2 linked regions of the Notamacropus eugenii genome follow. The protein of the gene in region 2 purifies or fractionates together with the protein of the main gene of each other region. This does not show direct contact. Links are inferred from orthologs where the notes say so. Each region holds a gene or a part of one and is shown on either strand. Other genes may lie near its edges.

What was found. Proteins that work in one complex are often made in the same cells at the same time.
Region 1: the proteins of DHX9 (region 2) and polyadenylate-binding protein 2 purify together in Homo sapiens (affinity purification with mass spectrometry; 4 studies listed by BioGRID and IntAct, with this or other methods). This does not show direct contact. The link is inferred for Notamacropus eugenii from reciprocal best matches to the Homo sapiens genes DHX9 and PABPN1.

What each region holds. Positions count from the first base shown.
Region 1 is NC_092878.1:9,833,317-9,840,583, forward strand, and holds the start of polyadenylate-binding protein 2, read right to left. Parts: upstream 3,002-7,267; 5' UTR 2,847-3,001; coding exon 2,496-2,846; intron 2,378-2,495; exon of another isoform or gene 2,251-2,377; intron 2,161-2,250; coding exon 2,046-2,160; intron 1,865-2,045; coding exon 1,797-1,864; intron 1,668-1,796; coding exon 1,561-1,667; intron 1,405-1,560; coding exon 1,317-1,404; intron 1,235-1,316; coding exon 1,083-1,234; intron 337-1,082; coding exon 297-336; 3' UTR 1-296.
Region 2 is NC_092873.1:462,361,169-462,368,493, forward strand, and holds the start of DHX9 (ATP-dependent RNA helicase A), read right to left. Parts: upstream 3,011-7,325; 5' UTR 2,859-3,010; intron 1,402-2,858; 5' UTR 1,381-1,401; coding exon 1,270-1,380; intron 651-1,269; coding exon 510-650; intron 1-509. UniProt on the Homo sapiens protein: Multifunctional ATP-dependent nucleic acid helicase that unwinds DNA and RNA in a 3' to 5' direction and that plays important roles in many processes, such as DNA replication, transcriptional activation, post-transcriptional RNA regulation, mRNA translation and RNA-mediated gene silencing.

The DNA.
Region 1 (7,267 bases), on a different chromosome or scaffold from region 2:
TGTCGAACCCCCAGAATGAATGAGCAGCCCCCTGTCCCATTCCCCGGGGGTTGGGGGGGGCCCTTGCCCTGACCAGACCCTCAGAAGCAGGTCCCTCCTCAGCAGTTAGTTATGGGATTCTCCCCCCTTCCACAGTATATCTTTTTTTTTAAAAATATTTTTTTTCCATCAAGGTCATCTTCTGTTTTTCTTTTTTTTAATTCCTTTTTCCTTCTTTCCTTTTTTTCCTCTCTCTCCTCCTAATACACACTTTTTTGTTTTTTTGGTTTGGTTTTTTTTTTGTTTTTTTGTGTTTTTTAGTAAGGGGAATACCATGACGTCGCTCTAGCCCGGCCCCTAGAAAAAAGAAGGAGAGTTGGGTGTAAACATGGTTAAGGGACACCTCAGCACAGCCCCCTCCCCTGGTCCTCCTGGTCCAACTCCAGCTCCCTCTCAGGGGAAAGGCTTCAGGTCCCACCAGAGGGCACATGCCAGCGGAGGGGAAGCTGCCCAGAGCACGGCCCAGTAAGGAGCGAGAACAAGACTGAGGACAGGCTCAGGTTCCAAACACTCTCCCCAAAAGCGCTCCTGCTGCCCTGGCAGGGGATTTCCCCATCACCCCCCAGCCCCTTCCCCAACTCTCCAGGCACCAGGAACAGCAGCTCTTCTGAGCTCCTAGGGGCTCACTAGGATGCTTAACTTCCCCTAGACACGTCAGGGAGACTAAAGTAAAGGAGCTGACCTAGGATCTCAAGGCAACAAGCATCCAGACACTAAGGGAACGAGCACCCCTAAAACCCTGACAAAAGCTGGCCACCCTAACTCCAGCACCCTCAGCAGGGCTGGGCAGATCCACTCGGACTGACACTGCCCAATGCCTTCCCACCACCTGAGGGAAACAAAGTCCATCCCGCCCCTCCCCCTTCCCAGAAGGGGCACTAAGACCCGGTTCGACCCAGGCCTCCCCTGAAGCCCTCCTACTAACAAGCCTAGGAGGGACGCCTCCCCCCGCCACTGCCCCCCAGCCCAGGCTGGCAGCTCCTCTAGGGAGGAGGGCACGAGGCCCAGAGGGAAGGAGGCGGGAGCAGCCCATCTATCCTGACCTGTAGACTCGGCCCCGGGGTCTGCTGTTGAAGCCACTATAGAATCGAGAGCGTGAACTGCTGTAGTTGGTAGCCCTGGCACGATAGCGGGCACGAGGAAAGCCCCGATCCGTGGTGCTGATTCCCGGTCGATTGGTCCGTTTGGGGATCACCTGAGCCAACGCAAAGGCCAAGGCAGGTTAGGGGCAGCCCTCGGTCCTGGAGACCTCCCGAACCGGGGCAGGAAGCGCTCACTTTGATCTGTCTTCCTCGGAAGAGAGAGTCGTCCAAGGCCATCGACGTCCTCACTGAATCTTTATCTGAAAATTCTATATAAGCGAAGCTGGAGGGGAGACACGGAGGCGGGCGTTCAGCGTGCCCTCACCCCCAAGGCTGGCGCGTCAGCTCCCCGCAGGGGGCCCCTGCCACCCTAAGCACAGAGGGCAGGACGCTCCCTGTCGGCGCTGCCCAGGGCGCACCGCGGGGACCCCCCACTCACCCCTTGGGGTGGCCGCTGAACTTGTCACAAAGGATGGTGACTCGGTTAACGGAACCACAGCCATGGAAATGGGCCTCCAGCTCTTCCGCTGTCGCGCCGTAGTCCACCTGGGCACACAGAGCCCCACTTCACCCACAGGCCGGGCCCCAGCCCTGGCACGGGGGGCGGAGGCCCCCGGTGCCACCCCCCCGCCGGGCCCCGCCCCCTCCCCGAAGCCCCGCAGCGCGGCCACTCACGTTGCCCACGTAGATGGAGCGGGCGTCGGCCTCCATCTTCTCCTCGATGGACATGATCACTGGGCCGGCTACAAAACACGAGCGATGCCCGGCTCCCAGCGGCCCCCAGCCCCTCCAGCGCCCCCCCCGGGCATTAAAGGCCCTCCCCAGGCCCGTGGAGTGCGGGCGAGGGCGCAAGGTCACGGGCGGCGGCCCCGCCCCTCCCCCTCCCCGCCCCCCCCCCCCCCCCCCCCCCCCCCCCCCGCTCACCATTGCCTGGGGGGGGGCTCATGTTCATCTGCTTCTCCACCTCGTTCTGAAGCTCCTTCAGCTTCTCCGCCTCTTCCTCCATCTCCCTTACTCGGGCTTTGATGGCCTCCAGCTCCTGGGGAGGGCGGGGTGGGAGAGCGGGCTCAGCCGAGCCGGGAGGGGACGGCCCCCGCCCCACCCCGCCTCGGCCCGGCCCGGGCCCCACCGCGTCCGGCTCCGGCTCCGGCTCCGGCCTGGGCCCCAGCCTCGGCCTCCCGCCCGCCGCCGCCGCCGCCGCCAGCCAGCCAGCACTCCGAGTCCGTCCCGTCCCGCCCAGCTCCGCGTAATTCCCCGCCCACGACCCGCCCGCCCCCTCCCCCGCCGGCCTCCGCCACGGCGGCCCCTCGCCTGCCCCGGGCCGCAGGCCCTTCCCCCATGACCCCGACCTCCCGCCCGAGCCCCCGTCCTCACCGGGTCCTCGATAGCGCCGTCCCCCGGGTCGCCCTCCACCAGGCCCGGCTCTTCTTCCTCCTCCTGACTGCCGGGGGCTCCTGCGCCGGGCCCAGGGCCGGAGGCTCCCGGGGGGGCGCGGGGCCGGGGCGGCTCCTCCTCGGGCTCGGGCTCGGGCTCTGGCTCTAGCAGCAATTCTTCAGGCTCCAGCTCCTCCGCCTCCAGCCCGTTCCCGTAGTCCCCCGCGCCGCCCGGGGCCCCCTCCCCGGGTTCCCCCCCGGCCCCGGGCACAAGATGGCGCCGCCGCCCCGGCCCGGAGCCTCGACCGCCCGCAGCCCCCGCTGCTGCTGCCGCCGCCGCCGCCGCCGCCATAGCCGCTCAGACTGGGGCCCGCCGCCCGGCGATTGGAGAGCCGCGCCGGCCACGCTGGGGGCTCATTAGTCAAGCAGCCTGCCCGTCACCGGGCGCTCGGAGTCCATTGGGTAGAAATACTTGGCAGTCAAACAAGACCACGCCTCTAAGGCGGGGCAGCTAGCCAAATCCTCGAATCTCAGTAGGGGAACGTGCCTGTCAGTCAACGTCGGTCCCGCCTCCCCCCGTCATTAGGTCACAATCCTGCCACGCTGTGACGCCATCCCCAACGGTCTCCCTATGGGCCGCGCCCCTCCGCGCTCATCTCGCCGTGCCGTGCGATTGGCCGCTAACCACGAAAGGCGGAACGGAACCTCACGCAGCCCGCCCGCAAGCCTAGCCGAAGCTCGGCTGCCCATTGGCCCCAGGGCTTCGAAGGGCTCCGACCTAGGTTACAACACGTGACCGCTCCAGCCAAACGGACCGTCCCACTCAGAGCACGGGACCCCGGGTCATATGATCGAATGTGAGGGCGCCGCCATCTTGCTTCCCTCAGTCAGTCTGAGGGCAAGCGAACCCTGAGAAGGGCAGCGCGGCGAGGCCAGGCCCGAGCCCCCGAGCGCCGCCTCGGCAGCGCCCGCCCCGCCCCGGCCTCCGCCAGCCTCCCCCGGACACAACAGCGCCGCCTGGCCTGCCACCACTGCCACCACGAGAAGGCCTCGAGAGGCCCCCTGGCGTGCGGCAGGCACGCGGCCCGTTCCCTGCCCAAGTCCGCCCTCTTCGCAGTACGGAGCCGGCACGCAGACCTGGCAGAGCTAAACCCGAGCGTTCTCAGAGGCGTGCCCACTGGGCCTAGGGCTTCACCTCAGCACGGCCTACAATGCCTTCATCCTGCAGAGCCCTGGCAGGGCGGCCTGGTGGCACTGAGCTGAGCCGGGTGGCACTGAGCTGGGCCCGGTGGCACTGAGCTGGGCCCGGTGGCACTGAGCTGAGCCGGGTGGCACTGAGCTGGGCCCGGTGGCACTGAGCTGAGCCGGGTGGCACTGAGCTGGGCCCGGTGGCACTGAGCTGAGCCGGGTGGCACTGAGCTGAGCCGGGTGGCACTGAGCTGAGCCGGGTGGCACTGAGCTGGGCCCGGTGGCACTGAGCTGAGCCGGGTGGCACTGAGCTGGGCCCGGTGGCACTGAGCTGAGCCGGGTGGCACTGAGCTGGGCCCGGTGGCACTGAGCTGAGCCGGGTGGCACTGAGCTGAGCCGGGTGGCACTGAGCTGGGCCCGGTGGCACTGAGCTGGGCCCGGTGGCACAGAGCTGAACCGGGTGACACTGAGCTGAGCCGGGTGACACTGAGCTGAGCCGGGTGGCACTGAGCTGGGCCCGGTGGCACTGAGCTGGGCCCGGTGGCACAGAGCTGAACCGGGTGACACTGAGCTGAACCCGGTGGCACAGAGCTGAACCGGGTGGCACTGAGCTGGGCCCGGTGGCACAGAGCCGAGCCCGGTGGCACAGAGCCGAACCGGGTGACACTGAGCCGAGCCGGGTGGCACTGAGCCGAGCCAAGCTGGGTGGCACTGAGCTGGGCCCGGTGGCACTGAGCTGAGCCTGGTGGCACAGAGCTGAACCGGGTGACACTGAGCTGAGCCCGGTGGCACTGAGCCAAGCCAAGCTGGGTGGCACTGAGCCGAGCGGCACTGAGCTGGGCCCGGTGGCACTGAGCTGGGCCGGGTGGCACTGAGCTGGGCCCGGTGGCACTGAGCTGAGCCCGGTGGCACTGAGCTGGGCCCGGTGGCACTGAGCTGAGCCAGGCTTCCCAAACACTGTGACTAGAGCAGGGCTCTGGCAGGTCTAACCAAAGCAGGAGGCTTTCAGAATGGGTCTGACAACCAGACAGACCTCTAGCCAAGAGGCTCCTCACCAGAAGGCTGACCACCCAGTGAACTTTCTTTGGCCCTGCCTACACTCATGAAGACCTACTAAGATGATATGGATGGTAAAGGAAGAGATTAGAAATAAAGTCCGTTAAATATCATACAAAGACAAAATTCATCAAGTTGAACAGCTTAGCACAACTGGCAAACGTTGATTGACTGAGCATGTACCTTAAAACCTAAGAATAAAACTGACCTTAGCTATAGGCTTGAGTAAGGATGCAAACCAGTCTAAACAAAGGAGTTCACAGTATAAAGCAAGCAGGGAAAGCAGAAATGCATTGATATTGAAACAGATCCTCTCTTAAGAGTATAATGAATTTGGAAAAGTTTTTACTCACACTCCGTATTAAAGAGTTTGTATCAGAGAGAAACACAATGGATGCACAGAATGTATGGTACTACAACCTCATTAGATACTACTTTTAGTGCAGTCAACACCATATGAAAAACCTCAAAAAGATAATCATGAAATTTTTACTTGCCTACTAGATTACAAGGTCCTTAAGTATAAGGGCTATTTTATTTCATATTTGTTTCCCCAACTTCTAGCATATTAATTAAGGACTTGGCTTAACAAATGTTTGTTGAAGTCAACAATTAATGGCGAGAAATAAACACTTTCTGGGGAAGTGAAGAGATCCTGAGATGGTAGAAAGGTGACAGTTGAACTACTGGAAATAGAGCTGGTCAGATGTACAGTGGGAGGTTGTTGTAAGCAACAGTTTGAACACTGGGAAGAGGCAAGAGGAGGCAGGTGGTCAAGAAGGAGTGAAGGAAAGATGCAGGAAGACTTGGCTGGAATCTGAAGTTTGGGGGAGTTGATGAGGGAGGCAAAAGAGGCAGTCGAGACAAATGAAAGGATTTCCTAACTATAATGAGGATGAATGTTCAGAGCTTCAGAGCGGGGGAGGGTAACACTATATTACATAAAAGACTGGAATATTGTTGTCTGAAGATTTTTGAAATTCGATTTTTGTCAGAAATGGTTTTGAAAAAGCCCCGTGTAGAAGCAGAGGAACAGACTATGTATAGTCTATGGCTTACATGTAGAATGACAAGGATCCATTGATTCTGGGAATTGGAGAAGGAACAAAACTCTATTTTTTTCATAACTGAATTTAATATAAAACAAGCAGCAGCATTTTTTTGTAATCCAGACTGTGATTTCGTTGGTAATGCAGATGGATAACTGTTCTGAAACCTATAGTCTCAAGAGTTTCCTGGGCCACTGAGAGGGTTAGCTGACTTCCCCAAAGCCACAAAGAGCATGCAACAAAAGCCAGACTTGGCTGCCTCAGTCAGCTGTTTGCTGTACCACTCTGACTCTCAACAGAACATTCAAGCAGAAATAATCCCCCAAACTGAAGTTTAAGGCCTGAGAATGATAGCTGGGGGTGAAGGGAGGTGGCAGGGAAGGAGAGGATGAGACAGAAAAGTATGCTTGGGAAAGGCCAGGACTTGCCCAGGCCCTTGTTGTCCAAGAAAGACTGGCTTAGGTCATATGGATGGAAGGAGAGGCCCTACTAGATTAATTCTTAATCAGAAACCCCGAAGCTTACTTGGAGCACTTCCCACATCCCTCTTGCCCTAATTCCTTCTCCTAACAAAATCACAAAAAGTTGTTTGGGAGTGAGGCCAGTACCCACCCACCCCATCCTTCCAGTTGTCAATGCAGAAGTCACAACCCTGTTCAGTCCTCATTAAACTTCTGGATTTTATTTCTTAATACGACCATTACATATTACACAAAAATAAAAGTCAAATGAACCCAGTATTTATAAATTATTAAATAAAAATACATGAATATATATTTATATTTATAGAGCTTTTTTCTTTTCTTCTAAACTAACCAAATCCGTTCTCGCATTGTTTTCTGACTTGAAAAAGAAAAATAATGTATGTCCTGGCAGAAGTGGGAAGTGGGAAAAGCACTCTCAGGACCTAGCTGCCCCACCTCCACTCCTCCCATGGCCTAAGCAAAGCCTCCCACCTGCCCCTTTGGGCTCTTGGGAGCAAGAAACACTCCCCTCAGCCTCTCCACCAAGTTTATCCTTTAGAAAATGGCAATTAAATGTGTTTCCCCCTACTTTTAATGAAATGGACTTAAAAACAGGGAGTCACACTCAGCCTGCTTGGCTAAGAGACAACCCCCAGGAACTGAACAGCCCCAAATAGAAAAGTCCCTGGTTTTCTGAAGGAAAGATCTTAGGGGATTCCACTGCCCCCAGAAGGAGTGTCTGGCCAAAACTGCCCACTGTGGTCCCATGCAGCCATGCTTCCAGAGACCAAGTCTGAGCATCCTCCCCTTTAAACCAATAACCCCTGCCTCCATCCAGAGGCAGGAGCCTTAGAGCAGTGCGTTTTTTGTCCTTCTGACCATGGGTCCTGGTGCCCCTGCTATTAAAGACCCCCAAGGGAGCTAACAGGGGCCACAGGTTAGGAGTCTGTGGTAGAGGGTGGGGGAAAGAGCTGCGTTGTAAGGGAAGAGGAGCACACGCTCCAGTTGTGAGCTGT
Region 2 (7,325 bases):
GATAGTGGTATCACTTAGGTAAACAGAAGCTAGGAAGGGGTTGGGTTTGGGAGAATAATGATAACTATATTAATAAAGATGGAAAGCGCTTATACTTAAAAAAGTACCAGCAAAAAGTTAACAGTTTAACAGAATAGAATAAATGTTTATCCCCAATCACATTAAATACATGGATAGATACACAGAAAAACCCCTAAAATCGAAAGGGGATTACTATTTTGTTCATAATAAAAATACCTTTTTGCTAACTCATAATGAAGCTCTTAATAAAAATTACCTTGATAATGTGCAACTATAAGAGAGGAATTCAAGGATTTCCTCAAGATAACAAAGCAGGTAAATACCAAAGTAGAACAAAACTTAAAACTTCTGAAACCTAGTTCAGGACCCTGCTACTGTTTGGAGCAATGTTAAAGTATCTGAAGGAAAATTTTAAATGCTTCAAAGTAGACAAAATTAGTATCCTGGAGTTTCCTCACATAATTGAGGCAGAGTAATTTTATACTTACTCCAATAGCTGGAACTTCCTCACTCTTAACTTCATTCACTCGAACCAAGTAGTTAACAAAATCTCTGGCAGCATTGCTCTGAGCATCTTTCTTATTGGTGGAATTGCCCATGCCAGTATAATTAAAACCTTCCACTCGAACCTGAAACAGAAAAAAAATTACTTCAAGAGTTAATAAAGAATCTGGACATCAGCAAATGTCTAACAATAACAAATCTCTAGAATAGCTCTCTACAAACCCTTGGCAAATACACAGCTCCACTCGTATAGGTGCTTGAATAATCACATACAGCATTTGGCTAGGGAAAAAATTACCACACAATAAAATCTAGATCCTCTGTACTCATATAGTAGCATATTCAGTAGCAAAATTTGGATAATTTCATGAAGAAAGCTTTCTTTATATATTACAAAGCAAGCACTTATGTATATAGTACATCAGTAGTGCTCCAACTCCGGAAATAGTTAATAGAACAAGTGAGCATATAGCTGATAAACTGTTGCACTTTCATTAGCCTCAATTCCTTTGTTCTGCCCTACTGGTATGGACAAGGGAGTCCATATTTAAATATGTCTAAGCTGGTATAAACCTCTTATCAACATAGTTCAGCAAGTAGACAGACACACACATACACTCTTACCCCCTACACCTCACTTCCTAACTATATTTCGCATAATTATTTTCAAAGATAGAATTTCCCTTCCTTGAATATAAACTTTATTTCTTATAAATCACATAAAGAATTATATTGTTTTAGTACCTCACACATGAATTTCTGTCTGTTCTTATTCCCCACGGCTCTTATTTCATAGGTTGGAGTCATTTTCCTTTTCCCACACCATGCATACAGGAAATTTTTGACATCACCCATGATGTAAATGTCTTGTTAAACCTTGAGAAAGAAAAAGTCAAAAATAAATTCAAAACACCAGCGAAATGCATATCATCATATACAAAGGAACAGAGCAAGATACTTCAACACACAAATAAATACAAACTTGGTAAAATTTTTTAAAATGTATACAGAACATCTTGTGTTATCCAACTATGTACTTCATTCTGCCTTAAGACTTAAGGTATGTCTAGGCACATATTACATTTAGGAAATTAAGTACATGAACTACAGATTATGGACAATTAGCAAGCTCCTCCTCCAGTGTAACACTAGAAGTCCCATTCCTTTCACACTCCTGAGTAATCAGAAACACATTTACTGAAATATTTTTAATGTACTTGGGGAACGAAAAACAAGATACCCATGGTACATAATGGGTGAAGTAATCAATTGAATTCTGTGCCAAAAGACACTGGATTCCATTTTCTCTCTGGCTGAGAGGCCTTGGAGAAATCACTGTAAGCCCTAGGGGAAAGGGTGGCACTCAACTAGGTATCATCCAGAAATCCCTTTCCAGCTCTATGACCTATGATTAGTTTACAGGTAATCATCCTTTAACTTGTTTGCAAATTCGCAATATGTATAAGAGGTTTTCTTCTGGGAAAATAAGGTTTTTATGGTAGTCTCCACCGTAAAAGATACAATGGCTTCTTATATGCCAAAAACCTGACCGTACAACATTGGTATCTGAAGATGCTGAGTCACAGGCCTTTCTTAAAAGTTACAGGTAGAGAAAATGTGCACCCAAGTCTTATAACTATCATCTGTATCTGGTCAGCTGCCAAACCAACGGCGACCAGGACTGCTGACCCATAAAACTGCCTCAAAATTAATAAGGAAGAGCTCGGCCAAGGTGTGCGTGGCCCGTGGCAAATCTAGACCTACTACGGACCTCAAGATTCACAAAGCGCAAGCTAAGCGGATCGTGGGTCACACTCAGGTATTAAAAAAAGGAAGATCACACAACGACCAGGCCCAAGTAGTGAGAAAGTGGCAGGAGCCACAACTACGGGAGTCTGTTACTGTGCCCAAGTTGGAGACTGGGAGCTCATGGCGACGAACAGTGTCATTATGGAAGACTAGAGAAACACAAGTTCGCTTGTTTATCTGGGAGAAAGAATAAACGGCGAAGGTACCTGATTCCCAAAACATACGTTCACTTCTCTTACACAAACTGGAGGTAGTAAAAAGGCTACTGAATTGGGTGAGCGGAGTTCCCTCCTGACGCATGCGCACAAGGACGAGAACGCGCATGCACAGTAACATCCGGGACACTGCGAAGGCTACCCCACCCCCACCCTTCCCCCTCACCCGCGCTAAGCGACAAAGCGGTAACTGCAGAGGAGCAAAAAAAAAAAAAAAAAAAAAAAAAAAAAAAACCAAAACAAAACAAAACAGTCTCCGCCCACTCATCCTCGCCGCGTCCAAAGACGGGAATGACTCCCCTTTCTTACCGCCTTTTTCCCCGTGTCCCCAAGAGCTGCTCTTCCGAAAGTCGCGCGTGGCTCGGTTCCTTCAGAGAGGCCCCACAGACACACAGCCAGCCGCGCGCAGCCCGTCGCGAAATGGCTCCTACTGCAGCGGAAGAAGGAAAGCGGAAAGAAAAGTTGCGCGTGCGCTTAAGTGGCATGGGGGCGGGAAACGTGACCAAAGACGCAAAAGACGCAGGGGTGGGCGGGGATAATTGGGGGAAGGAAGCCAATAGGGGGAGCCACCGTCGTGGGTGGGAGGGGCTACCGCTCGGGAGAGCCCGTTATTTCTCTGGAGGCGGGGCCGATGTCCGTTTGTGGCCGATCCCTTGGGGGAGGACCTTGGACATCGGACCCGAGTCCCGCAGCCTGCACCGGGGCACTTTCTTGTGAGCATGAAGGTTGCCTTTCATAAGACTGCGTGCCACGTATTGTGCGAAGAGAAACTCGGACTTTTCAGGGAAAGAACACGGACCCTGGAAAAGGTCCACCTGCCGCGCCTCCGTCACGTGACCTTGGGCAAGCTAAGCCTCGGTGTCCTCCTCTGTCCACACAGCGGAGGTTGCCCCAGGTGGTCGCCTGGGTCCGGAAATCCCAGGATTTTTTTTCCAGGCTGAAACAGTAACTACAGTATGTTAGCAACGTGAGGAACGTCAGTGATGACGAAGGCTGCCCTCCCCCTCTTGGCCAAGACGCAGAAGAAGGGGTTCTAGCTGTGGTCCTCTGGTTCCCGTCTCCTTGACGGGACCGGATTTTCACGCGAACCTTAACGGACCAGTTCAGTTCTGTTAGAAACAAGCCCGAGTTAAGGACTTAGTCCGTGCTAGCAGCTGTTCTAGGTGCTTGAGCTCGGCAGACGGGCAAGGTAGCCCCTGACCTGGGCCGAGCGTACCAAACTAAAGGTGGGCTGATTTTAGCGAAGAGGAGAGGAAAAGCCTCTTGGAGAAGGTGACCCTTTACAAGAGGCAGAGGTGAAGGGGCCACCGCTCCGGGAACGAGAGACAGGAGATGGAGCGCCGTGTACGAGAGGACAGCGCGCAGGTCACATACACATGGAACGGCAGCACGGAGTTGTGAGGAGAAGCGCAGTCAGCCTGGAAAGATAGGCTGGAGATCGGTGGTGAAGGGCTTTACTGCGAAATATCTACTAAACGCTGTAACTATTGCAATTGCAGTAAAAGTCAGTGAAGTCAGTTTATGACACGGACACAAATACCCCAGTAACGTGCCTTTAGGAGTTGTGAACAAGGAAAATAAAATGAAGACAGTGTGAAAAATAACAGCAATTCTGAGAACAGTTATCAGATGATCTATGTCTTTTTATCACATCCTGTAATCATTATGAACTAATTATGTTACAATTTTGAAATTCATTCAAATTCAGCGAATTCATTCACTTCTACGAAAGAAGCGTTCACTTAAAAGCTAAGTAAATGTACGTTAATGTTCGTGCTTATTCAGGTTAAAAGGATAGTGATAAGTAAAAAAAAATAGATACTTTTTACTCATATTTCTCTTCTAGACGTTAGTGTGGGGAACCCCTGTATTCTAGAGTTTCATAGAATAAACTCCGGGAGGGACCAAAGAGAGGTTGATCTTTTGAGTTAGCTCCCAGTATTGGAACCTGTTGCCTTAGGTGTCAGTTAAGTGGGAGTATATTTAAGAGTTAGTATTTACAGAGCTGAAGGACTAGGTATATGGAATACTGCATATTAATGTAGATATTTTTGATAAGTTTTTTAGTTTTCCCAGTTTTCCCTCCCTCTTATTCTTTGTTATAAAAGATAGCTTCTTTTATATTGGTAAATATAAACAGCATAAAAACAAGAGCTATCAATAAAAAGTTATTTTAAACAATAATAGTTTGCATGGCTGTGAACTGATCTATTTGGTTAGAACAGAGCTACACACAATGGATAAAAGAAAGAGGCAAAGTTAGGCTTGATGTCAGAAAAAACCTCCTAATAATTATAAATATCCAAAAATGAAATGAGCAGCATCCGGAGGTGGTAGATTCCCTCTCCTTGGAACTTTTCAAGCAGAGAGGAGTCAAATATGATGATGATTAAGGGACTAGAACGGGGTCTTTAATCTTTTTTGGTTAGGGCCCTCCTTGCCAGACTGGTGAATTCTATGGGCCCCTTTCAGAATGATGTCTTTAAATGCACAAAATAAAAAAAAAAACCAAATTATACTGAAATACTGCTATATTTTTTAAAAAGTCACAGACCCCAGTTTGACTCTGACCTTTCTGAAGACATCTCCAGTTCCACCTACACAGGCAAACAAAAAAGGCTTCTCTTAACCACATGGTTAACAGACCAGTGCCAGTTCCAGAATGTCAATGTATGGTCAAGTTTCTCCAAGGTATTTCCATTACATGTCATGGTGCCATTCTGTGCATATTCCAGTCATCTTACATATGTAAAACATTTTGGAAACCTTAAAGCATTATATAAAAGCTAACTATTGATGATAATTCATGAATGAGAAAGGCAACTCAAGTATCAAGTGAAGTGGAAGATGGAAAACTAAACGTTTCTTCTTATCCTTACAACCTCTTAAACCTCTCTAAAACAGAAATTATGCACCAAAAATAAAGCAACTTCAACTGTTCCCATGCTCTAGAATCCAGAAGAAGGTTAAAAAAAACTGCACCATGACCTGGTGCCTATCCTGAGTTCACTCAGCATCCTTTTCCCACCTCCTATGCTACGACAGTGAGGCTACACTAGAAAACCCAAGCATCCGACATATGGACTTGCAACAAAATCTAACTCCACACTATCATCCCCCTTCCATTTTTCCAGTGCTTTGGAGCCCCTGACGCCAGGCTGTATAAGTTTTCTTGGGCTGTGACAGCCAGTATAGTGGGAGCCCTTCAGAAGCAGAAGCCTGCTGGGGGCCATGACAGACAGTGCTATGACAGACTATCTTGTACCACCAGACCACAAAGCTCTGTACTAACAGTATCAGATCAAAGAATGGAGGAACAGAAGGAATGGAACAAAACACTGAAACAATATACTATGAAAGTAGAGGAACCATGTAGCATTTCACTAAACCACAGAGAAGAGCTCAGCATCCAGCTATGGCCATTTCTGTCAACCCAAAGGTCACCTGAGGCAGAGACCTCAGCTAATGAATCATGAATTGCACAGTGCAAGAGGAGGCTGGGGCACTTTGAAATCTAGCCCCCAAAGTAACCACCATCAAAGAGGGCAGAATCAGAAAGTAAGCTATAGGGGAAAATAAGGAAAAAAGACTGAAATGAACTCAGGAAGATGAAAACTCAAAGACCTTGAACACAAGCAAATAAATCAACAAGGAAAACACTAACAACAGAAGGGAACATTGCTTTTAGAGAGAGCAAATCATGAATAAATACTATAAAACAAAGGAAAATGTTCCAACACTTAATGAGACAGAAGACCTTGGAATGTAAGGACAACATAGAATCACAGCACACTATTCCTGAGTGGTTCAAAGGAGAAATATGAATTAAAGCAGAATTTATGGTTGTGTAGCAAAAATAATGGGCAGAATAGAAAAACTGGTATTTATGATGGCAAGTATCACCAAAGAAACAAAAGAGAGAAAAATAGATTGGAAATGCAAAAATACAGAAGTTAAGGACAATATAGAAGAAGAAAAGCAAAAAACAATCACATTAAAAGAACATATATTCACTATTATGCAAGAAAAATATACTGATCTTGAAGACAGGCCATGTAGAGACAACCTAAAGATCAAAAGTCTCCTAGAAGAATATAACAGGACACAAAAATCTTCAGCATCACAATGCTAGAAATAATAGAAGAAAAATTATCCAGACCTTCTGTGATAGAAAATGAAATAGCAATTGAAAAATATTCATGAATTCGTCACCTCCAGAAAAATATCCAAGGCTACAAACTCCAAGACATATGATAGTTAAATCTGACACATCATTTCAGAAACAAGTTCTGCAAGTGATCAAGAGAAGGTCTTCAAATACAAAGGAAAAGAAATCTGAGTAACACAAGACGATTCTGTACTCACCAGAAAATATAGGAAGGAGTGGAATAGTGTGTTCTGAAGAGCAGTGAAGCTCAGGATGCAACCTATGGTGACCTACACTATAAATATTGGCTTAATCATGAAAGAAAAAGATGGACATTCATAATAAAGAGGCGTTTGAAACATTCTTAGGAAAAATACTAAATCTAAGGTGTTTATTTGCTTCTCAAATACCCCAAACAACAGAAATGCAGGAGAAATGAATAAATGCAACAACCAGGAAAAGCAGCAGCAACTGTGACAGCAGAAATGCCAGCAACAATCAGACAAGATAACTAAAGGCATAGAAATAGATAAAGAAGACATAAAGCTATCCCTCTTTGCAGATGATATACTTTACTTGGACAATCCTAGGGAATCAGCAAAGATATTAATTGAGACAACTCATAGCCG